Mytilus edulis: one gene and its partners. The protein of the gene in region 1 interacts with the protein of each later gene in a biochemical or structural test. Links are inferred from orthologs where the notes say so. Each region holds a gene or a part of one and is shown in the gene's direction. Other genes may lie near its edges. The genes, in order: serine-protein kinase ATM-like, serine/threonine-protein kinase ATR-like, serine/threonine-protein kinase Chk1-like and cAMP-responsive element modulator-like.

The links.
Region 2: of the proteins of serine-protein kinase ATM-like (region 1) and serine/threonine-protein kinase ATR-like, one has a biochemical effect on the other in vitro, tested with the Homo sapiens proteins (2 studies listed by BioGRID, with this or other methods). The link is inferred for Mytilus edulis from reciprocal best matches to the Homo sapiens genes ATM and ATR.
Region 3: of the proteins of serine-protein kinase ATM-like (region 1) and serine/threonine-protein kinase Chk1-like, one has a biochemical effect on the other in vitro, tested with the Homo sapiens proteins (2 studies listed by BioGRID, with this or other methods). The link is inferred for Mytilus edulis from reciprocal best matches to the Homo sapiens genes ATM and CHEK1.
Region 4: of the proteins of serine-protein kinase ATM-like (region 1) and cAMP-responsive element modulator-like, one has a biochemical effect on the other in vitro, tested with the Homo sapiens proteins (2 studies listed by BioGRID). The link is inferred for Mytilus edulis from reciprocal best matches to the Homo sapiens genes ATM and CREB1.

The regions. Positions count from the first base shown.
Region 1 is NC_092353.1:10,605,743-10,613,178, reverse strand, and holds the start of serine-protein kinase ATM-like, read left to right. Parts: upstream 1-4,431; 5' UTR 4,432-4,525; intron 4,526-6,480; 5' UTR 6,481-6,505; coding exon 6,506-6,574; intron 6,575-7,117; coding exon 7,118-7,243; intron 7,244-7,436. Other genes in the region: c-Myc-binding protein-like, read right to left, coding at 141-189, 1,176-1,248, 4,103-4,117.
Region 2 is NC_092347.1:17,916,304-17,923,472, reverse strand, and holds the start of serine/threonine-protein kinase ATR-like, read left to right. Parts: upstream 1-4,146; 5' UTR 4,147-4,252; intron 4,253-7,169. Other genes in the region: archaemetzincin-2-like, read right to left, coding at 1-720. UniProt on the Homo sapiens protein: Serine/threonine protein kinase which activates checkpoint signaling upon genotoxic stresses such as ionizing radiation (IR), ultraviolet light (UV), or DNA replication stalling, thereby acting as a DNA damage sensor.
Region 3 is NC_092348.1:28,491,848-28,498,727, reverse strand, and holds the start of serine/threonine-protein kinase Chk1-like, read left to right. Parts: upstream 1-3,871; 5' UTR 3,872-4,028; intron 4,029-6,224; 5' UTR 6,225-6,250; coding exon 6,251-6,321; intron 6,322-6,800; coding exon 6,801-6,880. Other genes in the region: triadin-like, read right to left, coding at 1-126. UniProt on the Homo sapiens protein: Serine/threonine-protein kinase which is required for checkpoint-mediated cell cycle arrest and activation of DNA repair in response to the presence of DNA damage or unreplicated DNA.
Region 4 is NC_092345.1:72,167,807-72,175,248, reverse strand, and holds the start of cAMP-responsive element modulator-like, read left to right. Parts: upstream 1-4,425; 5' UTR 4,426-4,572; exon of another isoform or gene 4,573-4,833; intron 4,834-6,873; 5' UTR 6,874-6,885; coding exon 6,886-7,062; intron 7,063-7,442.

The DNA.
Region 1 (7,436 bases):
GAAGATGAATTTAAATAACGTACAGAGAACAAAATCAGTGTTTTAATTTGATTGTAGATGTTTTTGTTTTAATGTTTTCAATTAACCATAAGTATAATTTATTAATTTCAAATTTGCCCATTGAATTATTTTAAGGATACTCCAATGCATTATTTGGCTTTTCTGGTTCTTCATACAACCCAACCAAAACTGAAAAAGAAAATGATAATTCATAAATTACATAATACTGATACTACATAAATTTATCAAACAGAAATACTTAAAATATGTGTGAAGTATGGAAATAATAGAAAGACCATAAAAAGACATTACAACTGTCAAACATAATAGCGTCTTTGTGTTTGCTGCCTTCTATAACATGCAGTATAAACATGAAAAAAGATTTCAACCATTTTTTTCTGAATGTGTAATTCAGAATTCTTTTACTACTGAAAATTATGACATCTCTGCTTCATAATGGACCTTGAGAAAAAATTATTAAAAACTCTGAGATATTTCTTGTCATATGATACATGTACATTTGTACCTAATAGTGTACTTGCAGTTCCTTCACACCATGCATCATCATTACCAATTTTCCACTTATTACTTTTGCCATTTTTTTCAACAGCTTGACTCTTAATTATTGATTGATATTATGAGTCCAATCCATTTTACTTTTACTAAATAACATATGTAAACTTAACAGATTTTAAATTGGTTTTTATAATGACTAGTCTTAAGCATACACATGCATATTGAAATAACAAAAAAAATAAGTATGTATTAATCTAAAAGACCACTTTTAAGTTCATCCTTCGCCGGAAAAAACTTGTCAATTATACGCGCCTTTATGACGTCATTTAACAGATAGAGGGGTCGCCTGTATCCCTGCACCATTTACGTTCATCAAGCGTCTTAGTGATCGTCATAGTGCATGATAAACTACAAATAATGGTTGGTCTGTAGGTACTTAATGACAATTCCCTAATGACAGCAATGCTGATTGTCAATTTTGAGAATTCAATTTGCCGAATAATTCGTACAATATAGAATTATAGTTTTCCAACTACTCGCTCAACATTGGAATGGAAGTGACGACGCCCCTAAACGCACAAATGACGTTCACTAAAACCAGAGTTTTTGACGGAAATGCATCCAAATCGAAAGTTGTCTATTTATTTTATGCATCATACCTTTTGTTAAGGCATCTAATACACCTGCTTTCTCTAAATATTTTCTGAACTCCTCTCTCTTGCTGTCAGCTCCCTACAGTGTAAATTTTATTTCATAAGTGATCATTGCAAGAAATTTGTAGAAACAAGTCGTCTAGTCTCAAAGGAAACTGTATCATTATTCATGAACTTTTGAATCTTCACCTAAAAACCACCTTCAACATCAGCATGACCATGGTGGCAGTAAAACTATTTTTCTGCATTTATGGTGAAATATAATTTAGAAGAATACATTTTTTAGAAAGGAGAATGTTCACAATAGACTACAAATTTTCATATTAAATAAGTTTTGATATAAATACAAAATAAACTGTACATGTTGACCCAGAGCTATTATCCAGAATTTAAATTAATTCTGATTCATATAATTCCTTGTTTTAGTTTATATATCATTGATCATGTTGATATGCTTTATATATACACAAACTACATGTAGATGTGTCAAAGCGACACGAATGGCCCCATCTCCAAAAATTGAAAAATCTGCAATTTCAATTACACATGTGGACACAAACATGATGGTAGTCTCACATATAAAAGAATCAGCTAAAAATCTGGAGGCGTATAGAAAAAAGTTGTAAACCCTTAATTTTAGAAAAAATTAGCGGAGTGGAACAAAACTTAAACTTGATCTGTAACTCATCATTGTTAGCCACATACCAAAAATCAGCCCAATATCTGAAAGCGTTTAGAAAAAAAGTCTGTATAACAGCGATTTTCAAAATTTTATTAAAGTCCAAAGCCAAAAATTACAGCAAAAATTAGCAGAGCAGCGAAACTTAAACTTGATCTGTAACTTATGAATAACTCACAAACCAAAAAATCATCCCAATATCTGAAAGTGTTTAGAAAAAAAGTCTGTATAACTGTGATTTTCAACAATTTATCAAAGTCCAAAGCCCATAATTTTGTCAAAAATTAGCGAAGCAGAACAAAACTTAAACTTGATCTGTAACTCATCATGGAGAACTTATATTCCAAAGATCAGCCCAATATCTGAAGCGGTTTTCAAAAAAAACTCTGTATAATGGTTTGTTGTGGAATGACGGAATTTTGGAATTTCAGACAGGGGTAAAACTATATGTCCCGACCACTTAGTGGCGGGGCCATAAAAACTAAACTTAAATTCATTAAGTTTGTATTTTTTTTTTAACATTATTTGTTTGAATAAGACTATAAAATTGTGTGATGCTAGATTTGACTTCTAGTTGCTAAACTTGTCTTCTTGTCGCTGCTGTGTCAGAATCTAATGGAGTAATTCTTTCTGTCGAATTATACTTTCAAAATCTAACAGTACACTCAATTGCTATAATTTGTTCAAAACATCCTAAACAATGACTGTCTATACCGTTCGCCACTGATCCAATGTCCCAGACTAGAACAATTCTATTTGGACTAGCAAGTATTTGCAAAACATTGTTCAGACACATAATGAAAAATGGCAAAATATTGGTCTTTTCCGTTAAGTCTTTGGATTAGAAGAAGTAAATGTAGTAGAAGTTGGTAAAGTTTTGGTGCAGACTGATTGACTTGAACATCTTTTCAATTTTGTTGTACTCACAATAAAATTACACATAAAATTGAGAAAGGAAATGGGGAATGATTTAAAAGACAACAACCCAACCATAGAGCAGATAACAGCCAAAGGCCACCAATGAATCTTCAATGTAGCGAGAAACTCCCGCACACGGAGGCGTCCTTCAGCTGGCCCCTTAAAAAATATGTATACTAGTACAGTGAGAATGGACCTCATACTAAACTCTGAATAATACGTAAGAAACTAAAATTAAAAATCATACAGGACTAACAAAGGCCAGAGGCTCCTGACTTGGGACAGGCCCAAAATAGCGGCAGGGTTAAACAGGTCTATGAGATCGTAACCCTTCCCCTATACCTCTATAGTCTTTTACTTTGATTCTGAAAAATTGGAGACCACAACTGACTTTACACTAACAGTGGAGTCCCCACAGCCTGTGATATCGCACATTAGCTGATTTCATCATATCAACACATTAATATAAATAAAATCATTCTTGTTATTGTTTAAGCCTTCTGAAGGGAAAAAAAAAGAATAAAATTGATAAGTTCAAGAGTTCATTAATAACTGCAATTCCTTGATTTACCATATTTGGTCAATTTCCATTAAAAAAATACATCATCAGATAAAATTTGTTTTACCTAAGTCAAATTTAATTATGATATGAAATAATTTTTTGCTCTGCATCCATTGGCATCTTTGGCAGTGTGTTTCACTGTTTGGTTCAAATTCAGCTACATTTAGTAGTATAAAATCTTTCTTTTATTCAAAATAACCTATTTTTGTAAGGCATGCGAGAAATCACCAGACATTGGAGGAACTCTCAGAAAAGGGGATTCCCTAATTTTGGACACACATTACTAAAAATTCTGAGGATGAAACCATACAAACAGAAGATTTTATAAAATAAAAGTATGTTATGAAGTGTTCACACAATTTTATCCAATTTTTGGTTTTATTTGTTGAATGAAGTGAAGTCAAAAGTCTTAGGTGTGCAGATACACCGGACTGCACCGCAACATTAATTTAAGCTGGGATATAACTTCCTTGAATTTGTAAGACATTCCTTTTTTCATAACAAACTTATCCCATTATCTTTTTCTTCTAATTACCAAAACACATCTTTTATACTTTATTCCAATATTTTAACAAGAATAGAATAACAGTCAAACTAATTTGCAATATATGACTTTAAACAGAATTATTCAGAAAAGATTGAAAAATCTGTCCTGGGTCACCTTTAGTTTTTAATTAGTTTTACTGTATTTGATTCAAGTTCGTCCATTGAAACTATACGGTTATTTAAACAGAGAAGAAGACTATTTTACGCCAATTTTGAAATAAAGTATACCCTGTAAGTTGTCATGATGTCTGATGTTGTTCTTCAATCTCGTTTCAAACAGGTCCAGTTAGGAATGGTTGCTATCAAGGTTTCGGTAACATGCGCAGTGACCGGTGAAGAACCTAGATGATAACAGGTCTCAAATAAAACTTTACAATTGTGATAAACGATCAAGTCAAATTTAAAAGTTCAATGAAGATTGGTTTGATGTAAAACTGCGGAAGAAAATAATATGTTTTCTTGTTATAATGTAAAATGCCAAAGTAGTTATCATTTAGTTTGTACGGTCAAACTTAACTTCCGTTTTTCGGAATTTGTAGCTTTATCCATTTGTTTGATGAAAAGACCCGAAAAATGTAGGAAAAAAAATCGTCTGTTTTTGAGTTTTGGAGGCATTTTCAAAATGATTGGTGTTTCTCTAATTATTCAACGGTATTTTAAAAATGAATTACTAAATACTTTAGGTTGCTTTATGACACTGTTAAGATTATTTTCCCCTTTCCTGACATGTATGAAAAAGCAAGAAGAAGAAGGGTCTTTCGGTTTTAAGTCTTTTAAAGAGACAGGCCAGCACTGCCTCAGTCACTGAGTCAGTGCCCTCAATCATTCCTTGACTTATTTTCATTTTTTATTTTTTCTGTTGTCACAGAGTTACAGAGACAATCTCACCCTTCATAAATCAAGTGCAAACTGCTGAATAGATTACACAGGAACAAATTATACTATTACTATTTTGACGGGATACACCTTATCGTTATTTGTCCGCCATTACTGGATATCACACTGGTTCCCGTAAAATTTTGACGTCATAAAATAAAATATCTGAAGCCACAATGGAAAAGTGATTGTTGTATGCGTCAAAAGTTCAAGCGGCTGGTTCAGCCGGCCGATAAGGCTAATAGAGATAAGGTGTATTGCTTCCTTTAGAAAATGTGGTATAGATACTTAGTCAGCCATAAGTGGTTGAGCTAAGGAAGTACTTCTTTAGCCCAGTCGGTTAACACACTGCATTGTAACACAGAGGTCTCGGGGTTCGATTCCAGGTGGAGACAAGCAATTTTGTAATGAAATTCATGCACTCCGGACGCCACGATATAGCCTTTTTGTGCTAATGCGGCGTAAAGCAACCAACAATCAATCATGCTCTCCGGTTACATTGGCGCCCAGCTAAAAAACCCACATAAGTTAGAGAGGAATTCTAGCTAGGGTAATGTGTGTGAGAGTCATAATGGTATGATGACTCGTGAGGTTGGGGAAGTGTGACAGGATTGCTTCCCTTAGAAAATGCGGTAGATATTCTATAAGCGGTTGAGCTAAGGAAGTACTTCTTTAGCTCAATCGGTTAGCACATTGTCTTGTAAGGCAGAGGTCATCGGTTCGAGTCACGGTGGAGACAAGCAATTTTGTAATGAAACTTATGCTCTCCGGTTACAATGTCAATAGGGACAAAATTGGAGTGTTTAATTATGAAAAATGTATTACAAATGGTAAAATGTATCCTCATCTCATGGGTTTTCGTGGTATTAAAAATGCATTGTGACGTCACAATTTCTATTGAAAAAGCATTCATAGTACAAATTCATATTATGTATGAAAACAAATGATCAGACCATAGGCATAGAAGAAAGAGGTTAAAACTTGTAAAATATATGTACTTTAACATGCATGTTCAGCCATATGATCAGATGATATGGGAGGAATTTGCATTAAGAATAATTTTTTTGTCATCTGCTCGATCACTATTTTTTACATCAATGTGGAGATAGAAAAAAAACAATAACCATGATAACCCCCCTGGAAGTGAAATAGTCATTCCCTAACATGGACAAAACTATTTATTAAACTAGTTAAATCATAGAATTTGCACCTCTTTATTTTTGTATGCAGACTTTACATGCACTGAATTTTGCTGGTAAATTATATTCATTTAAAATTATGTGTGCCTTCTAGTTGTTGTGTGTAGCTTTAGTGATTGTGTTTTTTCTTCCCAGTTATAACAAATAGTTATGATACTATACAGTTACAGCTATTCAATTTTAAAGTACACTGTTTTCCATCTATTTTTCTAAGCCAAGGTATAAGAAAATTGTACATGTATGTAAACATATATAATTAACTAAGTTTTATCAACATATCATTTTCTGCTATTGATTATTTATTCCAAAACCAATGCTGAGAGAGAAAGCAGATATCACAATTGATGGATATATTTATTTGTCCCTCATAGTTATAAGTTTTACTTGTATTTCTTTGCTTTGTGGTTTAAGCTATAAGCTGTTACTCTTTATAAACAAATTTATAGAGCTTGCTCACTGAATGTTTTTCAATTATAAAAAAAAAATATTTTAATAACTTGGTAATAATCTTAACCATTTATTTCAATTTAGAATTGCATATCATTAACATGAAAAAATGGATAGCTTATCAGATGTGATTTCCTGCTGTCGTGGACTGTTGTTAGAAAAAATAACAGAAAGAAAGGTTTGTATCTTTTTATACAACAACTATATTATGTTTGTAAATCTTTTTTTTTGAATTAACTGAACCCTAAGTTATTTCAAAAAGTGTGATATCCCAACTCCCAGTGATAGGTAAATTGAGGGGCACCACACCTCTAAATTGAACGAAAGGTTCATAAACTAGGATTTTTTTAATGAAATAGACCAGAATACACAGCCATACTCAGTGCAAGTTACATTTGATTTCACACTCATCAATTGAAACAAAATGCTGGGGTAAAGCATTGTTTTCCACTGTAAGTCCACATAATATAATGAAGGATGAACACATGATGTCACCCCCAGTTAACTCCACCTTCTGTTTGTAAACTATATTATTCAGGGTGTTAGTACCTACAAGAAAGGTGTTTATGTTATAAATTAGGATTGTTATTTCTACAAGATAGGTGTTTATGTTATAAATTAGGATTGTTATTTCTACAAGAAAGGTGTTTATGTTATAAATTAGGATTGTTATTTCCTTTAACTTCTTTACAAATGACCTGGTTTGGTTTCATTATTTTAGAAAAGTGCAGAGAAATTTCGTCAGTTACTGTGTAAGAGTACTGTTATCAAAGCGTTGGATAGATATACAGACAGTAAGAATGCTGGAAGTTCTGATGAACAGTTAACTTGGGATTATGTCTTCAAAGTAAGTAAATCAATGAGACTTGAAGGAGGAGAAGTTATAAGACTCAACATAATAAAATTTAGTTATTATATTATATTGTTTTCCTAGCTTTTGGAAAATTAAAACTTTTATTTCTCATGTAAAGTGCATTTTGATTTTCAATACTTATCAAAACCTATGGATTGAAAGTGTATTCTTTAGAACCATATATGAT
Region 2 (7,169 bases), on another chromosome or scaffold:
TAAATCTTTAACACCCAACTGATATTGAGTGCCTTTAAATCTACTTTCTAATGTGTGTTGTTTTGTTCTTGAACTACTTCTCTTTGTATTGCTTTTCAACTGACTTGCCTCTGATGGATGTTCTACCCATAATGCTTTTCTATCATTACTTTTGACATCAAGATCTACACCCGGCAATGTAGATACAGGAACTCCTAAATAGATCTCAGCAAACTTGGCAAGCTCATCAAAATAGAAGTAATGATGGCCATCAAATTTTCCAACAGGTACAATATAAATTTTACCATCTGGATATTTCTCCAGTATGTTGGTTCCTTCAGGAACAAATCTCTGTTTCAAACTCTTTCTCTTCCTAGATGATATCCACGGACAATCCTGTAGAAACTGTTTGTAGGTTTGTCCTTCCTCATTGTATTGTGCTAACCAGTCATCTATATTTGTAGGTTTAGGAACTGGTTTGAAGAATTCAAAATTGTCATGTTTCAATGCATGGTATTCTAGTGGAACACCACTATCAAAGCCAATAGCCTTGAGTTGTTTATCTTTGTTTGGAGGTCTAAATCCTGATGCATATGGTACATATTTACTGTTCACCTTTGTTTTCTTTATTTTAGGCATCTTCAGTTTCTGCAATTGAAATGGGAGAAATTGCTTATGTTTTATGTTATACAGTAATATAGCATTCCAAAAGCCAAAAGACATGCCTTTTATGATTGACATGTATATGCATTGGTAAAATCTGGTTTGTCATAACACTTTTGTAAAGTTTACCTTTACAGTGCTACTATTATAGTTGTAAACAGAATAAGATTGAGTTATCTCCCATGTAATGTTGTTAAAAGACTATTGTATCTTACTTACATTTTAAATCTGCTCCCAGTCTTGGTAAAAAACAAAAAAATGTGGATTTTAATGGATAAATAGCCTTTTTTTTTTTAAACAATATTAGTATACTAGCACTGCACGTGGTATAGGAGTTCATATAAGAGCTATCAATGGATGAGAAAGGTTCGATTATAAAAAAACCTATCATTTTTGTTATGTTCATATTAACCCTGATGTTCTCTCTCTCACTAACAGTATCATTTTCAATGCTATATTTGACACAAAAGATGATATACTGCTATTGCTCTCAAAATAAAAAATAAAGATGGAAATTCTTTTAATATATAGTACATGTAGCAAACTAAAACAATGTCAATGAAAGTGATAATGATATAGAACAGATTTTAAATTATTTCTACTGGTGCATTTTTTATAAAGTCAATACGTCTAGAAATCCATTCAGCTTCTTCATTCATACCATGATGCTGATAAAATTTGAGGAGATTTTCATATCTTGTTAAAACATTAAATCCCACAAGTGTTTGAAGTTTATGTAAATCCACTGGACATAAATGCATAGGCTGACGAAAATCTTCTTCTAAATGTCCAGAACCATTCATGCAACACTCAAAGAATATGCAATGTCCGATACCCAATAAGTGCCCTATCTCATGCACAAGTAATTTACAACTTCTTTGGAATGTAAGCTTCTGAATATGCTCCTGAGACATACGCTGATTTCTACGAATATTATACCAATAAGCATTGGAAAAAGTTAGTGATGGATCATAACGGAAGAAACTGAATACTGCCACATGATCTCCACCTGCAGCCCAACCAGCAACAAATAAGTCTGATTGTTCTCTGTATAAATCACTCATTGTTAATCCAATCACTGACAAGGCATCTTTGGGAATATTTTGACGAAGCATATATAACAAACTGGCTATTCCTATCTGGTGATGTTTGCCATAGAATCTACTTTCCAAAGCTATATTGCTAGGAGGTATTGAACTCTCACCATTAGATGAGCTTTCCGAAACACTATTTGTCCAATAAACTTTTTTATCTGTGAAATTCACATCAATATCAATTCCATTTAGGATAACAACAGGTATTCCTAAATATATTTCAGCAAAACTTGCTAGTTCATTGAAGTGGATAAAGCCTTTGCCACTAAATTTCCCAATCGGTAAAAGATATATTTTCCCGTCAGGATATTTGTCACCTAGATTTGTACCAGTTGGAATAAACTTCTGATTTATACCATTGACCGGACTTGGTGATAACCATGAGCATGTCGATAAATAGTCAGCATAGGTCTGACCAGGAGCAACATACTGTGCTAACCAATCATCAATACTTGTTGGTGTCGGAATTGGATTGAAACATATAAAATCTTTATCAGGCTGACAATTAAATTCAGGTGGTACAAAACCATCACACCCCACAGCTTCAATGTGTTCTCTGTTGGTAGGAGGAACATAGCCAGAGGCATAAGGTATATACTTCACAGTTTTAGTCCTCTTTGTTCTTACTTTTGGCATTTCTATTGGCATACGATATCCATATATAAGCCACTACAAACAAAATTTATCAAATTAGGACCACAACAACATTATTTATGATTGACATAAACTTTTACATAAACTTGGTGTTCCTAAGAGCTTGTAGATTTTGAAAAAGAGCTGACTATTATGCCGCTACAAGGCAGCAGTCACAAAGTGGAAAGGGATTGATATAAGTTGTCATAACTTATTCAGCTGTTTTAAGTTGTCATAACTTATTCAGCTGTTTAGTTGTCATAACTTATTCAGTTGTTTCCCAATCCACTATAAACTGATAAATAAATATACAATTAAACTGAAAGAAATCAGCATGTTACCAACATAAACAAACTCCTCATTTTCATAGATGTCAAAACTGATACTACTGGTCTGAGACCACAATTGTCGTCCCTTGATTTTTTGATTTTCGTTGTTCACAAATATAGTCCCTAGTGTTGACAGTGGGTAACTTGCCATTAATTTTTATACCCCTTCCAAATTTATTTCTCCATGTTTAATGCCTCAAATTGCAAGTAGGGGGGTGAAATTACACTGTAAAAAAATTTGGGTCCAGAATTTTTAAGGAAAGTAGTGATGTGGTCCAGCTGAAAAAGGTTTAAAATTAGCACTTCGGAAGCTGTCAAAAGATTTCACGACGCCCTATAACATAAAATTGTCCATATTTTGAGTTAGAGCCGATGAAGTTTTCTATAACTTCAGGGATCTCCATGGATGAAAATTGAACCATGGAGGAAATTTCACCATCACAAACCGTGCGTACGCCGTACAGTGAAGCGTGAACAAAGTATACCATCACTCCACATAAGGATTGGTGAACATGCTAACTCATTGCTTATTTAAATTATATTTATTTGAATTTTCATTGTAAATACTATAAAATAGAAGTATAACTTCAAAGGCCAAGCCTTCATGCCCCCCACTTTAGTCGAGAATGACTGTACAAGCTCAGGTACAAGTGATTAGCGATCTTAATCCAGATATCCCTCAGGTGTTAGAACTGTATTGGATTATAATATAAAAAAGCCTGAGGGTTATGCAATTACATGCATTTGATTATAATTGCTAAAAAAAATGGCGTCGGGCTACTAAAACGATAACAGTTTTGAAAGATGGCGGAAGACAATTTAAGGATGGCGCAGGTCATTTGACGATGGCGGAAGACATTTGAACAATGGAGCAGGTCATTTGACGATGGCGCAAGACATTTGAACGATGGCGCCCCGCCGTTCAAATGTCTTGCGCCATTGTTCAAATGTCTTGCGCCATCGTCAAATGACCTGCGACATCGTTAAATTGTCTTCCGCCATCGTGGATCCCTGAATTTTGATATAATTTGTCCCAAAAGTAGTACAACACACTGTTAAAGTTTCTTTGAGAAAGTACAGGTGGGATTTTTTTTATTTTCATTTATGTTGTTAAAGAAATGCACTACGAAATAATTGTGGTCTCGGACCTACTATAAGACATAACCTGATAACTGTGTTATAACTTATAGTAGTCTCGGGTCAAAATGACACAAAAAGGGTACCTTTTCAAGTTTGAAAACAATTAAATTAAAAATTGGAAACAATCTTACGTGTAAATGGTTTAGTGGTTCTTTCGTTTCAATATCATGTTAATTATAACTGTACTGTCACTGTCAGCTGTTTTCTTCAGTGGTTGTGCAATCAAGTTTTCTATGTAAAGGTAAAAATAGTGTCAGAACTGGTACCCTATTTTATTACTCCTTAGCTCTATACGATAATTTAAATTCGGCTACCAGGAAAACTAATTACGGCGGGAAAGTAATTGTTTTTCAGATTCAGCAATAATATAATCAGATAATTTTTTTACACTATAGCTTTTCATCTACTTGAGAGGTAATTTTAAAGATAATACGAGGCAGGCATTACCTGTAAATGGGGACAAAGTCTGTATGAATTATTTTTTTGTAACAATAATTGTTAAAAAAAGGGGATGAACATCTAGGATGTAACTGCATAGCCATAGGACAGTTATTATATTGACTGCATGAACATTAACAATAACCCCAGTTCAAAGGTTTCATCTGTGATAACTTAAACTATAGAGGTAGTTTTGAAAAAAGGCAACAATATCACTGGCCATGTTGTCAAATGAGTGGGCCATTTGTTTACAATAAAAACAATAAAAAAGTGTATAGTTAAGCAAAGAGGTACTGGTAGTGATACACAGGGCTCACGCTACCAGGCGACTTGGGCGAAGAAGTCGCTTTCCCGACCATCACTTCGCTTTCCCTAACCCCCAAAAACAAAAACAAGTCGCCTTGTACTTGACGATATTCGCTTTCAGTCGCTTCTGTCATCGGACATTTTCATTTTTTACCAAGTTGATGAAACATCAATTTTTTATTGATAATTAAAGAAATTCCGACATAAACGATTCATTATCTTAAGAAAAGAGGTTGAAGCATTGTCTTTGCAGTGTGTAGCAGGTTATTTGATAAAAATAAAACTTTTTATCACTTCGTGCATTTCCGCAAGTTCCAGTGATTGTTACTCGAAAACGTACATCAGCCTAAATTTCGGCGGCAAAAAAGTTTGTTACTTCATTTAAACATGATAAAAGTTGCCTCCAGTAAATGTTTAATCCATTTATTGCATTAAAAACGTCATGTTCCTTTCCAAATAACTTGTCAAACATCGTTTATTTTTGTAAATTTTCTTGCAATCGTCCGCCATTGACCGATTTCTAAACTATGGATCTGAACCAGACCAGCTATGACCGAAATCCTTACTTTTACAATAATTACTACGGACCCGCTGGAACAGCTGACAGAAAAATATTGATCCCAAATGGAAAATTTTCTTATTCCACACGCATTGCGAGACTTTTGGTTACATCTTATTGATTGGTGTAAATAATTCCCTATTTTTTTATGGATTGTATCAAACTATTGATTAAAGTTGCTTAACTCAGTCTCTGAGACTATTATACTATCAATATCAATATATTTTGGCACAGCTTTATAACTTTTATATTTTTTTATGAGAAACACAGAATTTCATACACATGATAGTTTTGAATTAAATTGTAATTGATATAGTATAATTTCTTTACATTTTTTAAAATATTTTTTTTTTTTAGTGCTAGTCTAGATATTAAATATTTAGTTGGTAGTTTCTCACAAGAACCTTAGTAAAACTTAAACAACTTTTAATTTGAAATGTTACTTTAATTGTATACTCAGATATGGTTTGAACAATATAACATGATATAAAAAGAACATTATTTACATATGACCCTTTATACTATAGTAAAATCCAAACATTGTAGCACACCGCGCGAATGAGCACTTCTCTTTCAAATCTCACCACTTCTCCCTATCAGTTTCAAAAAGAGAAGTCCCAATAATTCTGAAGTAGTGTGAGCCCTGGATACATGTATGATACATGTACTTACCTTCACAAATTTAAAGTTGTTTATAATAAATTATATCATGAATGATAGTTAATTAAAAAAAAGGGGGGTATACTGTTTTACCTCTGTCTGTCCTTCCGTCAGTCCATCAGTCAGTCCGTCCGTCCCATGAATATTTTTCGTCATATTTTTCTCAGGAACTACACTACCAGGATTTCTGAAATTTCAGGCTTGATATAAGTCAGCTATACTGTGTGGTGCGTTTTCTGATAAATCACTCGACAACTTCCTGTTTACCGAACACTTGTATCATTTTTACACCTGATAGCCAAGTTGAAAATTTGTTCGTCACATTTTTCTCAGGAACTGCACTACCAGGATTTCTGATATTTGGTTTCAGACTTGATATAAGTCAGCTATACTGTGTGATGCGTTTTCAGATTCATCACTCGACAATTTCCTGTTTACCGAACACTTGTATTATTTTACACATGATAACCAAGTTGAAAATTTTTGTCACATTTTTCTCAGGAACTACAATACAAGGATTTCTTAAATTTGGTTTCAGGGTTTATATAAGTCTGCAATACTGTGTGATGCGTTTTCAGATTCATCACTCGACAACTTCCTGTTTACCATGTTTATCGAACACTTGTATGATTTTACATACATGTATAGCCAAGTTGAAAATTTTCGTCACATTTTTCTCAGGAATTACTATACAAGGATTTCTGAAATTTGGTTTCAGGATTTATACAAGTCAGCTATACCGTGTAATGCGTTTTCAGATTCATCACTCAACAACTTTCTGTTTACCGAACACTTGCATATTTTTACACTATTAAAATTATCCACTTGCGGCGGGGGTATCATCAGTGAGCAGTAGTTACCATAAAAAGTTCACTTGTTATATTATACTTTGTTTATTTAAGCACCTTCAGCAGGAATGAAAAACAAATTGATAGCAAAATCTAGATAATTTTTTTATATTCTGAAACTAGAAATGCATTTAGATTATATTAATCTTGGTCCAGCCATGTTCTTGAACTTTTTCAGGCACACAGTTTGTCTGTACTCAAAGTGAAATTTGTGGTGTAAATATGGCCATATTTGAGAAAAGGTTAACTGATGATACTGTCTTTGAAGATAAATAAGGCAGTATCATAAAAATAAAGTTTATTCCCTTGCTTTTAAGTTTAAAACATAAAGAATGGAAAATTAAATTGTAAATAGCAATCATGTACATTCTTACTTAATTTCATGAAAAAGATAATTTTCAATGATCTAAACACACAAATATTATTTCTGGTATATGTGTCTTCCCAATTTCATTATAAATCACATAAAAAAACTCCCAAAATCCCCTAACTCGAATAATTCAAGCCCTTTCCGTGTCCG
Region 3 (6,880 bases), on another chromosome or scaffold:
GTATTTTGCACCAAATTCATAGATGTTATCTGGTTGATTTCTCAAAACTTCACGTGCAAGCCCTTCTAAAACATTTTGAAATCCTTTCGGAACGCGAAGTTTTGTGTTTGAAAATGGAACTGCCATGTTTTTCTTGTAAATCTGACTGAACAATCACCAGCAATCTATTGCTCTAGTTGGCAGTGGAGAAATGTGTGTATAGTTTGGCGCCTGTCGTCATAACAATGTACATTCTAAATTTCAACTCAACTCGGACAACACGGAATTAGTTGCTTCAGGTCTGTCTGAAAACCAATAAAATGTTAATTCTAACAAATTTATACGTTTTTTTTGTTATTAATTTCAACAGAGACATATAATACATTGTATTATATGTCTCTGATTTCAAGAACGTAAATGTTAGTCGATGAGGGGGTTTTTAACGACATTGACTACCTATGAGGGTCTTGCGTGGTCGGTCAAAATATGTTACGTCTATTCAACTAAAAAAAGGGGGATTCTAATAAATCAGTGTTAGTGTTTTGATCCCAAATTAAAAGAAGAAATAAAAAATTTTGATCAAACAGATGACAAAAAAATATTTTGAATCTAGATTTTCTCCATTCCTTTTAGTGTTTATGTCGGTTAAATATGGTGAGAAAAAATATTTGATTGATAGAATATGCAAATCTGTTTGCGCTTAGTGCCATACACCACCCCCTTTTATATTGAAGAATAAGAACTCCAAAAGAAATTAAGGACATTCGTTCAGCAACAAAAAGATGATTCTAGACCTATATCAAACACTTAGAAAAGTGAGCGAACAAATGTAACTAAATCATTAATAACAAGTAAAATATCAAAAATCATGACCAAACTGTTCTCCAAGAAAAATTCAAATCATAAATGTTGTAGAAAACAAATAAAAAATCTAAAAACACACAAGGCTGCTGGACCAGACAACATCAAACCAATTGTACTGATAGAACTAACCAGTGAAATAGCCCCGATCTTAAACATCATTTACAATTTTTCGATCATGACTGAGCAATATTAAGACCAATGGAAGTATAAGTGCTGATTTATACAAATTGAATGTTTATGTAAACCAACTTTGTAGACTTTAAACTTCATTGAAAGATCGATTCGATAAGTTGCTGTGCCCCACCTGTATAGATGACAGTCACACTTAACAATAGTGGGAAATAACCCATTTAACGTACACATCCTTACAAGTATGGCATACTGGGATGACTACAGCCAATGCGAAGGATATCTGATCCAACCAGAAAAAAGTGTTATGTTTACCAGTTAAAACCAACTACAAATAACATTAGCGGAAGATACTTGGTAAAAAACCAATGCCTAGTATTGTGACCAAAACATATCACTTCGGTATGCAAAGCGATACTCATGAGTGATTCAACTAGAAGTACTTTTAAGAAGAAAATCTAAAAAAAAAAACCAACAGAAGATCATTACATACATTTAGCTTGTATATAATATGTCTCTTTTGTAATGTATGCAGGATTGCATGGGGAAAATAGTCTAAACCCAGTGACCGCAATATGTATGCTACAAGAATTTATATTTCCGATTATGTTTTATGTCTTAGAAATTTTATTACTAAAAAATCTAAAACCACTGTCAAAACAATATAAGAGAAAAATCAAGCAAATCTTTAATTTCTCTTCCCTTCAATGTAGCTTACCAAGCAATTAACCTAATATCTAGATTACTATCAACCGAAGCAGTCATACAAAAATTACAACAAGACAACTGGGACGTACACATAAAAAGTGAAAGAGATGTTTTAACAAAGCTATATACGAGATGGTATAATACCTCCTTCATGTGTAAGACGAATGATGAAACCGAGAATCACTTCCTGTTGATATGTGAGCTGCTGGTATATATGTAAGGAACTAGATTGATACGAAACCACTCACTAGTCAATCCGTATGTCTAATGCACACAGCTCTCATATCAGAAATTGATACTATAAATCAAAACAGTTGTGTAGACACTTGTACTATTAGCTTAGTTGCATGTGAGACGATGTCAGAAGCTGGAAATCATAAAATCACAAAGAAGTCTATAAATTGTGAAATAACATTCCTTGAAATGAAATTGTCATGATCGCATCTGGGTATTATCCAGTTTCCAATATTTATAATTTTTTTCAAAAGTATATAAATTATCTTCGTTTGATTATAATCCTTGTGATACTGATTTATTAAGAATAGATATTAGAGACATTCTTCTTGACAGACATTCGTTTTCTCGTTTGAATTGTTTTACATTGTCATTTCGTGGCCTTTTATAGCTAACTATGCGGTGTGGGCTTTGCTCATTGTTGAATGCCGTACAGTGACCTATAGTTGTTATATTCTGTGTCATTTTGGTCTCTAGTGGAGAGTTGTCTCATTGGCAATCATACAGTGGCGGATCCATAGCCAGAAATTAGTAGTGGTTTTGCTAATTAATATTCATAATATGTAAATGAGAATTGTACCACGTGATAGTACTTTGAACTGGACTGGCTTGATAGGCTTGATATCATTAAAATCTTTAAAACACGGATATTATAAGTTGCCCGTCAGAGAGTCCTTATTTACAATCACTTTGATATTTCCGTAAAGTTGTCAGGCGGTCAAAATCAAAACAATGAACGCGAATTTAGTGAATTTTTCGTGCTTTCGTGAGTTTATTCTTCTTGAAATAGTGACATTTTAATTTTACGTGGGAACCTAAAGTTCAATGACTACACATACAAGGTTTGGACTTGCTTATTCTTTGGAAATTCAAGTTTCATATTTCACCCCGGCAACCTGTTTTTGTAATGACCTTGTAAGCCAATTTTCAACACGAAGTTTGCAAATTTGACGTTTCAGCCATTTTAGCCTGTATTTTACACTGCAATGTTAAAAGCCTCTCGCTTCGATTTTTAAAATAGCTCAGGAACCTGTAATTTTGCAACAACAGTCATTATGTTTCGTTTAAATTGTGTATATTGTTGTGTATATTCATTTTCTGCCCGGGCAACCTGTCTATCACTTAAATTAAAATTAAAACAGACATTTTTTTCAAAATTCCCTATCATTTTAATGTAATTTCCGTGACCCGTATCCGATTTCTTTAGTATAATATTCAAATAAGCAAAGTGGCGTTGATTTCTGGATATGCCGGACATTTAAAAAAAAAGGGGGGGGGGGTTCCAACCCCGGACCCCCTGGATCCGCCACTGATCATACCACATCTTCTTTATTTTTTATATTCAACAGCTCATAGGGTCATTTACCAAAATCTAAGCAACTTCTAGATTTCTTTTCTTTTGATTTGAGACCCAAATAATACCAATGCAAATATATGATAAAAGAACAAGTCAGTCTTTTCCCGCCATTGAAAAAAATATCTGGAGAAACAGTCACATAACCTATCAATATTTTTAGCTTGTTTTGTTCCTTACTGAGTGAACTAATGATCTTCTCAGGACCAAAACAGGGACTTTCCAGCTATGTTAGTTAAAAAAGTCAATGACTTAAAGTATCAATTTTATATTCTTGATCTTAATAATTTCACATAAGTTCATCCTTAAGTAGCAGTTATTTTTTAAAGACATGCTGAGACTATTATATTATAGTACAGGGACTTTCTATTCTATTAGTATAGAAAGTCCCTGTTTATCAGTATAATAGTCCCAGGGACACGGAAAACTTTTTTTTTATATCTTTCTTGACCCTTCAATTTTTTAAATCAATAAGGTTTCACCAACTTATTTAAGCCCTTACTTGTTTGTTTGTTTGTTTGTTTGTTTAAAAAACTGTCAACATTATAACCCTTCCCTGCACTCTTTTTATGTTTATTATTTTGGTTTTCAGATTACCCTCCTTTAACCGGAAAAGAATCAAAATCCAGAAATGGTTCTAAAATTAGAATCCATATCGGCGGTAAAAACAAAAACAGAAAAATGTGACTTGAGATTTGGTCTGTGTACTCTGATTCTAAGCAATTCTAATATACATCTGACACCTTATGTTTTACTTATGGTAAGATAAAAGTTTACCTGACTTTGTTAATTGAGTGCAGTCATACAGCAAAACACCTTAATATTTCCACACCAATTTATCATCAGATTATGACAGATATAAAACATCATTATGATTCATGGGACACTCATACACCACCTCAATACTAGCCAGTTATTAGATCTTATAAATAAATAAGCTTTATTAAGAGTCGGCATAGTTGTACAAACAAGGACATGCTCTTGTGAGTTTTTAACCTCTTAATTTTCTAATTTGCAAAACAATTTTATGGTTCCATATCAAATATTGATAAACAAATGTACATGTAGATTTAAGGGCATACGATACAGTTACAGGGGAGGTAATGAAGTTGCTGACGTAAATTGTTATTTTCACGACGTCAAACTATGACTTATCGGGAAAAGATTCAGTTTTTGACAGATTTTTATCATTCAAACTTATTTAACTTGAAAACAAGTTTATGAACCCCTCTTTTTTAAAATGCCATTTGGTTTGATTATGCGAGGGGGTTATGTGTGCCAATTTTCATGAAAATGTAAATAGTGCAATTTTTTTAAACTTAAAAAAAATGATGTTTTTTCTTCATTCATGAACATTTGATAAATATGAGTTATTTTCTGAATAAAAAATGTATAAATTTAATTTTAGGGTACTTATAAAATACAGAAATTACAAATTATTTATCTAAAAGCAATTTGTGTTTATCTTTTAAAACAAAAAAGTTTTGTTTTTCTTTGGAAAGGGAAAATACGACCACAAATCCGAATTTTGAGCAAATATCAGTGATTTTGCTAGCGCTCGTCACTTTCGTATTTTACGAAAAGGTTTTCGAAATGACGAAAATATTTCATATCAATTTCGTCACTTAAATTTGGAAAGTGTAAAAATATTTACACATCAAATTACTTGAATTCTACCTGTCTTTATGTTTCTGACAAGTTTATGACCCTCAGGTAATTAACGTTTACCAAAGGTGTTAAAAGTTGTGATGACAAGTAATCCGCCTATCGCCAATCAGATGGGTCACTAATCCCTTAATTATCATTATAAAACCTCATAAATGACCATCATAATAATGTATTTCAGTTAAATCAGTCAGTCAGCATTTCATTTTAATCATTTCTCACAGTTCAGTCGTATTTTCGTCATTTGAACATCCCGGACATTTCAACTTTATTTTTATTTCAATATTTTCCTTACGATCATAATTTGCAGTTTGCTTGTCGTAGTTTCGTCATTTCAACGTATTTTCGTCATACTTTATATAAATATTCATCAAAAACTTTCGACAACTTCGATTAAAAAGAATGAACTTTATTCAAAACGTAAATATTTTCACTTGCAAACAGGTGCTTCCTGTTCTATGCATTGCGCATGTGTAAAAGTTCGTAGATGAATCCGGTTTTATTCTGAAATTATTATTCAATTGTCACTTCCCGTTTTCATTTCATTTCGTTTAAAAATCGAAAGTAAACGTGCTCTACAGTCTACAGTCATTAGAATCGTCACATTAAGTTTAGATGCAGATCCTTCTATCCAATAATAAAGAAATTGATTCCAAATAGATATTAAAACGTATTTTCAAGGATATAATTGATTGTGAAGTGAAAAGTCGTTAGAAGTTCATTTGTGCAGTGGTTAAAAAATAGAGGCACCCAACTTTTGTTGATTCTTGTAAGGGGTGTGCCCTGAAAATAACTGAATTGAAGTTTTGACCATATTACCAGATCCCTGTTCTTATCTTCATATCTTAGCATCACATTAGTCAATTCATTCAATATTGCCAATAACTGCCTACATTAGCAATCCTAAAGTCTTCAAAGATCCTAGACTAGTCCTTGAAGGACTTGGACATATATGTATAGCTAGTTTGATAAACATCCTAGATCCCTTGCTTTATAAAAAAATAAGGCTGATTTTTCACGCGCAAAAGTGACTAAAGCCCTCAAAATCCTAGCTGAAACCCTGCAAATATATACAAAATTTCGACCTCATTTTACTCAACCTGATTTTTAGTGCCATGCCCATAGTGGTCAGTACTGGAAAGGACTGTCAGGTTTTCAGAAAACTAGTGACTTAAGACGTACACTCTGTCATGTTTCTAGCATGTCTAGTATGAGTTTCTTACAAAGTATTTTCAAAATGATATCTTTTATCACATGTATGTAACACAACAAATAACATTTTACTTTGTAGACAGATACATGTAATGTCATGATCCAATGACAGAAGTAACAGCATTTGTAGAAGGTTGGGACTTTGTCCAGACACTCGGAGAGGGAGCATATGGAGAGTATGTACAGAACTTAACAATTGTAGAACATGTAGACACTTACCATGTTTACAGCAATGCAATACTATCTTTTAAAATAAAAATCCACAGAACAATGCACACAAAAATTGATAATATAAAAAAGAAGATGTGGTATGATTGCCAATGAGACAACTATCCACAAAAGACCAAAATGACACAGACATTAACAACTATAGGTCACCGTACGGCCTTCAACAATGAGCAAAGCCCATACCGCATAGTCAGCTATAAAAGGCCCCAATAAGACAATGTAAAACAATTCAAACAAGAAAACTAACGGCCTTATTTATGTAAAAAAATGAAACCCATTTTTCTATTGTAATTTGTATGCATATTTATCTCAAAGATTGGGTACTGATCAATCAGACTTTTTGTTATATCAATTTGTGACTCTCTTATAACTCTTTAACTTATAGTTATTTTGTGTCAACATAGTATACATGCAGTTGTAATTTCAGAGTTAAACTTGCAGTAAATACTGATACCCAGGAAGCTGTAGCTGTTAAAATTATAAACCTAGAGAAAACAGCATCTGCAG
Region 4 (7,442 bases), on another chromosome or scaffold:
AGCTAAATGAAAGTTAATTTTCGCGCTAAAATACATTTAAAGTGCCATGCGCGATATGAACTGGTCAGTCCAATACGACAGTTAAGAAAGACGTTCACAAAACATGGAGCTCATATTATATGATTCTATGAGAACAAGAAAGGCAACAGCGTTGTTTCTATTAATTCAAATGGAACAAGAAGATCAGCTATTACAGGCTCAGGGTTTACTTTTACAAGTAAAATATTATTTTTTGTCAATTTTTTATATCAAGTAACATAATTAAAGGTGACAAATAATTTAGAGTTTTTAATTTATATTAGACAATGTCGGAACATATTCAATTTCTTCTATTCACAACAACAACACGAAAAGACAAAAACGTTAGTTATGATAAGAGCGATATGTTCAGGCCTTTTCCATCTGGATTGTTTCATATCATTACATGCTGGGGTTCCTTTAAATAAACGCGCCTCGTACACAAACACTGCAGGTACACGTATATAGGGAAACCAACTTTTTATTTATTATTCTGATTTTTTATGTATCGTCTGAGTTGTTGTCACACGAATGTTTACTCCATAACCATTTTGTTTTCTATATGTCATATTTTGCAGCCTTTGTTGCTTTCACCACATCCTTCCTTTTGTCTATATTATTGTGATATTCTCCTGGAAAGAGCTCTTTTTGAATAAAAGGGATCAACGAACCCATTACCTTACCTTTAAGACAGATCAGTAAACATGGGCATAATTATGGGTGATTATTCAGACTAGTGCACACATTTTACAGTTCAAACAAGGCAATGCCGAGCGTGGCATCCCCTCGTATGTAACATATTGGGGACAAATATGGACACTGTATTTGTATATATGACACATGCAGAAAATGGTAAATTGAATATGCATATTTGATAAATAAACTATTTTTTTAGAAATCAACCAAAACATTTAGTACCTGGAAATACCTTTAATATTGTCTTTAGAACCAGCAGGTAAAAAAATGAGCAACCAATTTCCTGGGTATTATGCTATTTCAAGGAGAAAAAAACAAGTCCATCTACATGACCTTGACCTTTGGCCTTGAACGTAAAAAATGTCAGATCATTACAAGGAGGAACAATATACCAAATGTGGTTAAAATCTTTTGAAGCATATTAGTTTTAGAGTGTCCACAAGGGGGATATTGCCTTGTATTACAACTGCCACTGTGACCTTGACCTTTGAACTTTAAAGTCAATAGCGCTTAAGATATTCTTAACGAGTAACACCATACCAAGTTTTGAGCATTTTGGTTCCAGAGTGTCCATAACAATTTTATCTACACGCAACTTACATGGAGTAGGCGAGGGGATAATAAACTAAGTTTTATAAGAATTAGACAAAAAGATTGAATACCCGCCATGCATGGCAGACTTGTACAGGAACGATATGTTGTCGAAATTCTGTTCGTATTTTTTAGACATCGTATGGCCATCGCGCCATCATCGTAATCCATCGTGTAGCCTTCGTAATCCATCGTGTAGCCTTCGTGATCAATCGTGTAGGCTACGGCTGAGATATGAAGCTTAAATACCCGTCTTCGGCTAACCTTCGTATGTCCATCTTTTGCTATCGTATACAATTTCGGCACCATCGTATAAACTTCGTTATTCGTCGTACTTGCTTCGGTCACTTTTTGGTATTTTAACGAGATCGGGACCAACTTCGTACGAACTTACAATTTCAGCATTCGGGTGTCCATCGTATATAAAAATCGGGACAGTGTGACGCGGGCATTACAGACAAACGTTCACGTAAATTGTCCCAGTCAATGGATGATTTTTAATGTGTCAAACAATGGCCACAGCCACACTGTTTTTATTTTTATTCTATGTTATCATTCGACATTTAATGCTTATTTCCAATGGGTATCGTCCGGTTTTACCGTACCCAATCATGGTTGGGGTAGATCTCTTGAGGTGTAGTAAATGCTTTAAAAATTTGAGATGAACTTGTTCAATAATGTGTTTTTTTCCAAATCCCCATACTTCACATCCGTATAGAAGAATTGGTTTCATCAGTTTGTCAAATAACTCTAATTGGCATTCAATTGATAAATTACACTGCCTCCCTTTTTTGATAACGTTGTACATAGCTTTTGTTGCTTTTTCTGATAGTCTTTTCTTTGCTTTATTGAAAGATCCGGATCTTGTTAACAATAGTCCAAGGTAGTTAAATTCTTTCACTATTTCAATTTCATTTTCTTCATAAATGAAATTAATATTATTAGGCTGTCTTCCTTTAGAGAAAATTAAAACTTTATAGTCTTAGATGTATTTACTTTAAGTTTCCAAGTATCACCATATTCACCGAAGCAATTTAATTGCATTTGAAGGTCTTCCTTTGTTTCTGACATTAGAACAGTATCATCGGCATATAATAAAACGAACAGCTTTAAATAGATATTGAGGCTAGTTTCAGGGGAGTTCGATATTGATGACAAACCTTTCACATTATGTGATAGAAAAAAAAAGTGAGGTCATTAATTGATATATAACGAGAATAATAGAGAGGAAAGATTTTCCCCTTGTCTAACTCCAGTGTTACATGGGGAAAAAATCAGATTTTTGATTATTGTATATAACTCTTGATTTTATATTGTTGTACATACTATGTATTAATTAATGTATGCATTGTTCCATCAATGTGATTCAATGCCATCTCCAAACTGTGTCGAACGCCTTAGCAAAATCAATAAAAACACAGAATAACTTTTTCTTTTGCGATCTAGTTAGGTCGAAGAGACTTTGTAATATAAACATGTTATCTGTTGTTGAATATTTTTTCCTAAAGCCACTTTGATTGTTATGTATTATTGAAAAGTTTTCAAAATATTTCGTTAATCGTTCATTTAGGATGGACGTAAACAGTTTTCCAAAACAGCTAAGAATAGTGATTGGTCTATAATTTTGCGGATCTTGTTGATTTCCTTTATTTTTAAATAAAGAATGTATATTTCCAGATAACCAACTGTCTGGTATGATTCCTGTATCAAATATAAGATTGAATAACTTTACAAAGATATTAACGATTTCTGTTGAAGCACACCGTGACGTAGCTTTGAAGAATTCGTTTATAATCAGGTCATCACCGCTTGCCTTGTTATTTTTCAAGATTTTTTATATTTCTTATTATTTCATCGGGCGTAATCATTTCATTTAATAAATTATTTTCGATATTTCTTTCAATCTCTTCGTAGTTTAGCTCTTGTTCTTCTTCTATATTTCCTTGATTTAAATTTTTGAAGAAATCATAAAGTTTTTCAATGAAATATTAGGTTGTTTCTTCCTAGAGCCTCCATTTAGAATTTTCCAGTACTCTTTTGAGTTCGTGTTTTTCATATTTTTCATATCATTTCGCACATTTTTCCTATACTTTTTTATATTTCTGTTCATGGTATTTTTGTATTGTCTTTCACTGCGTTTCATATTCATGGTTTACAATGAATTTGTTTAATTTATATTTTCTTCTGTATTTTCTCGCATTTTCCCTAGCAATTCTACAATCTATGTTAAACCATGGTTTTTCATCTTGTGATCTTGTACTCTGAGGGGTATTTTCGTTCTTTGACTTGTTTTTTAATGTTCCGCATGTTTTCTTTGCAGAAGTAACAAATATGTTCGTAATATTTTCTACAGCTTTGTTAATAATGTTTGAATCAGCATGAAAAGATTTGGTTTCTTCAAGATAATTTTCTAATTCAGAAATCTTTTCTCTGTTTAAATTTATAATAAAATCTTCTTTCTTGTTTATATCCCATTTCTTTATTTTCTCTCCGCTCATCGAATTAATCGGCACAGATCCATATTCACATGTACATTTATATATGTCGACATCTATATCTATAGGGCTGTGGATATCGGAATCATATAAACAACTAAAATCTAAAACTTTCGAATTTGAGGCAATTAATTAATTACTATAGTAATTAGAGTAATTATAAGATAAGAAAATGATTTGTAGCCTATAGTTGGATAAGACAATATCAATTTCATTAACAAATTTTGGCCCCCTGGGGATCATAAAGATTTTAACAAAAAATGAAAATCCAATAAATGACAGAATACATATCAAATTACATAATATAGGACTCCCCGTGAGACACCCGTGTATTTCGGGTGACAGTACTTTGAATCTTTCCTGGCGAATTACTAAATACCAAACCAGCTAACTACGCCGCAATAATAAAAACACATGAAACGTTGAAATTGAAATTTATGTATAAACCAACAGATTGTTAATTATTAAATTTGAAAGAAAAATAATTCTTTAAAAAGTAATTTATCAAATTCAGTTTGAATTTAATCAAATTTTATACCCGCAAGATACAAAAAAGTAGTACGGTCTATATTTGGACAGTATGACGTCATGTGAGATAAGTTAACCAATCAGGTATCGTGCAATAGGAAATCCACGCGGATGAATATATTATTCAGCAGTTTTGTTGTTCCTGATTGTGACGCTGCAGCCAGATTTTGACGTGGCGACTACGTATTCTGCAAATTTATCCACTCCGATTACTGCAAAATTGGTGACGAAAAGTACGTAACAAGTAAGTACTCCACTGACGAAACAAAACAAACAAGTTGATAACAGAGAATACGCTTATCTTCGGAGGGGATCATTATTTTCAAAACGATCAAATCAAATTTTTGAATGTGATTTATATCACAAAAGGAACTTTGTGAGAGCAACAACAGCTGACTCAGAAGATTAACCGGAAGAAGCAGATTGTTGATGTACCTTGTCCCACTCTGGAAATCGGACTTTTCAACAAGTAAAAATAGAACAGGAGAATGCAGAGAGAATATGGGTCAGTTTCACTAAGCAAAATGTCAGAGAAGCAACTCAGCATATTTTACTCGACATCAAATCTAAAATGCATTACCCAGTTATATTTCAGTTCAAAATAAAGAGTAAACAGATCTAAACAGTATAGTTTATTGTTTATATCATGTTTATAATGGTATACATTATATGATTATTATTAGACTACTTATATTTGTCAAATTTAACATAAAATAAAATCATAATTTGTTGTCCTGCAAAAATTGTCCAATCTGACATCAAACATGCTTCTTCTTTCTTCTCTTCTTCTTTAGTTAGGGAATACCATCAACTTTTTGAGGATTACTTTCCGGCGCATGCCTGTATGAGGTTGATTTAGTGCACACCACTATCACCAGCCATGACATTACTGTGTTATTTGTAAAGGTCTTATTGACAATTGGAAAATCAATGACATTGAGCCATTGGAATTGACTCTTAAATACTCTTTTCTTTTTATGGCATTATTTTCTCTTGCGATAAAAAACTGATTATAGAATTTTACGGGAACATCAGTGGTCGACAATAAGCTATTCTGTTGGTCCCATAAGTACACCAAATTACTTCAAAGTGCAAATATTTCTCACCACTATTATTTGTCCATCCATTACTGGTCATGCAAACATTCCAGTCAAAAGAGATGTTTTGATGCAACAAAACAGGAGGAACATGTACATTTATGACATCAATACATTTAGTTCAAGTGTTTCAGAGTCTAATTTAGCTATAAGGTCTTTAGACATTATTTCTATTTGGAAATCTGCTACACTGGATTTTAAACTGTCATACAACAATCCCTTTAAAAATTTTCCATTTTGTGGCAACCTTTTTAAAATTTTAATGTCCAGTATAATTGGCAGACAAATAATGATAAGATCATATATTTGGTTCAATGCATAAATCTTAAAATCAGTCGTCATGTTAGAATTTGTCATCAAAATCCTCAGAATTTATTCCCCTTGATTGTGTATCAGATTTTACCTCTTTTCATTAGTGGGGCGATTTGTCATGCTTCTCAATTTATTCATATTATTTTTTTAAATGTATACTGGTAAGCACTTCTGCAATTAAACAATATAAATACTACTAAGTCTATTTTGGTCCACTGACTGCCTAAGAGGGGACCTCCTCCCATCATGTTTCAGTGATTCCCTGTATTACCAACCAAAAGGGGGGGGGGGGGGGATTGCGAAATTGTGACATACATGTACAACAATATTGTGCCTCTTTTCCATAGAAATTAATATTGTTTAGTAATCTTGTGTGTACATTAATTTGACATTTCTTGTAGGATAAATATATTTTAGTTATTACTCTTAAACAGATAAATTATATGCGTTGGTGATTATATTAAACAATGGAATTGGAAAACTGTTCTCTTATTCCAATTTCATGAGCTGTAAATCATTATCTGGTTATTAATTGATACTATTAATGATATCTTATATAATTTGCATACATGTTTGTCAAGCTATTGTAGTATAAAAACAGCACTCTAAAAGTTGGTCAGGTGATTTCTTCCATGTCCATTGCAACCTTCACTGGTTTCAGCACAAATTGTTTTTGATCCCAGACTAGGTGATGTGTGATTCATTAAAGTTGTGTGTAACTACAACAGATGACAGTTTTATAGTTGGGTGCATACAATGTAATTTAAATTACCACCATATGCATGTACCAGTTTTATAGTTGGGTGCATACAATGTAATTACCACCATATACCAGTATACATTGTATATTTTGTCAAATGCTAGATTCTTTTCATTAAAATACACGTTTATACTTATGTTTGTGTAATGTATGTTATGTGTTGGCAGCTGGTCAAATGTATGTATGTGTTAATACTGTTACAAATACAAATACTTCATTTGAAACTGAAAAAGATGGTCTTTTTTCTATTCATTCTATTTGGAGTATGTGATAGAATATTTCTCTTGTTCTTGTGGCACTGTGCCACAAGAGAAATATTCTATCACATACGGGTGGGCACTCTGATTTATCTTAGTTTCATTATTATATTTTTCAGAGTCCGTAAGAGATGACAGAGGTACATCCATCTCATCATGCTCATGGAGACCTGGATACTTCCCAAGGCTTATCTGTTGTACAGATGTCCATGAATACACCAATCCAAGTACAGTCCGTTATACACCCAAATCAACCCTCAGTCATTCAAACAGCTGGACCTAATGTACAGACTATACAGGTTGTAAGGGTAAGTTTTAATCCAACAGACTAGAAAGGGAAAGATATTTTTAAAATGGATGTACAAATGTACATGGTAAAACAATGAAGAAGGATTCTAATGCAACAACGTTTGTAACGTTCTTTTTGATTGGATATCGTCACTTTCTTACATGGCATCAATTGACAATTGATGCTATGGGACGTACGCACAAGCGCAGACGGCATATGACAGTTTTTAAATACATGTTTTAACGTTGTTTTCTGTCAGTTTCATTAGAATGGAGATAACAATATTGTATTTTAAGCTCCGACGGCATCAATTTGGGATTTGATGGTTGCAAACACCCGTTTATTGTCTCCGCTAACGCGTCACCAGTAAACTTAATTTGCGACCATCAAATCCCCAAT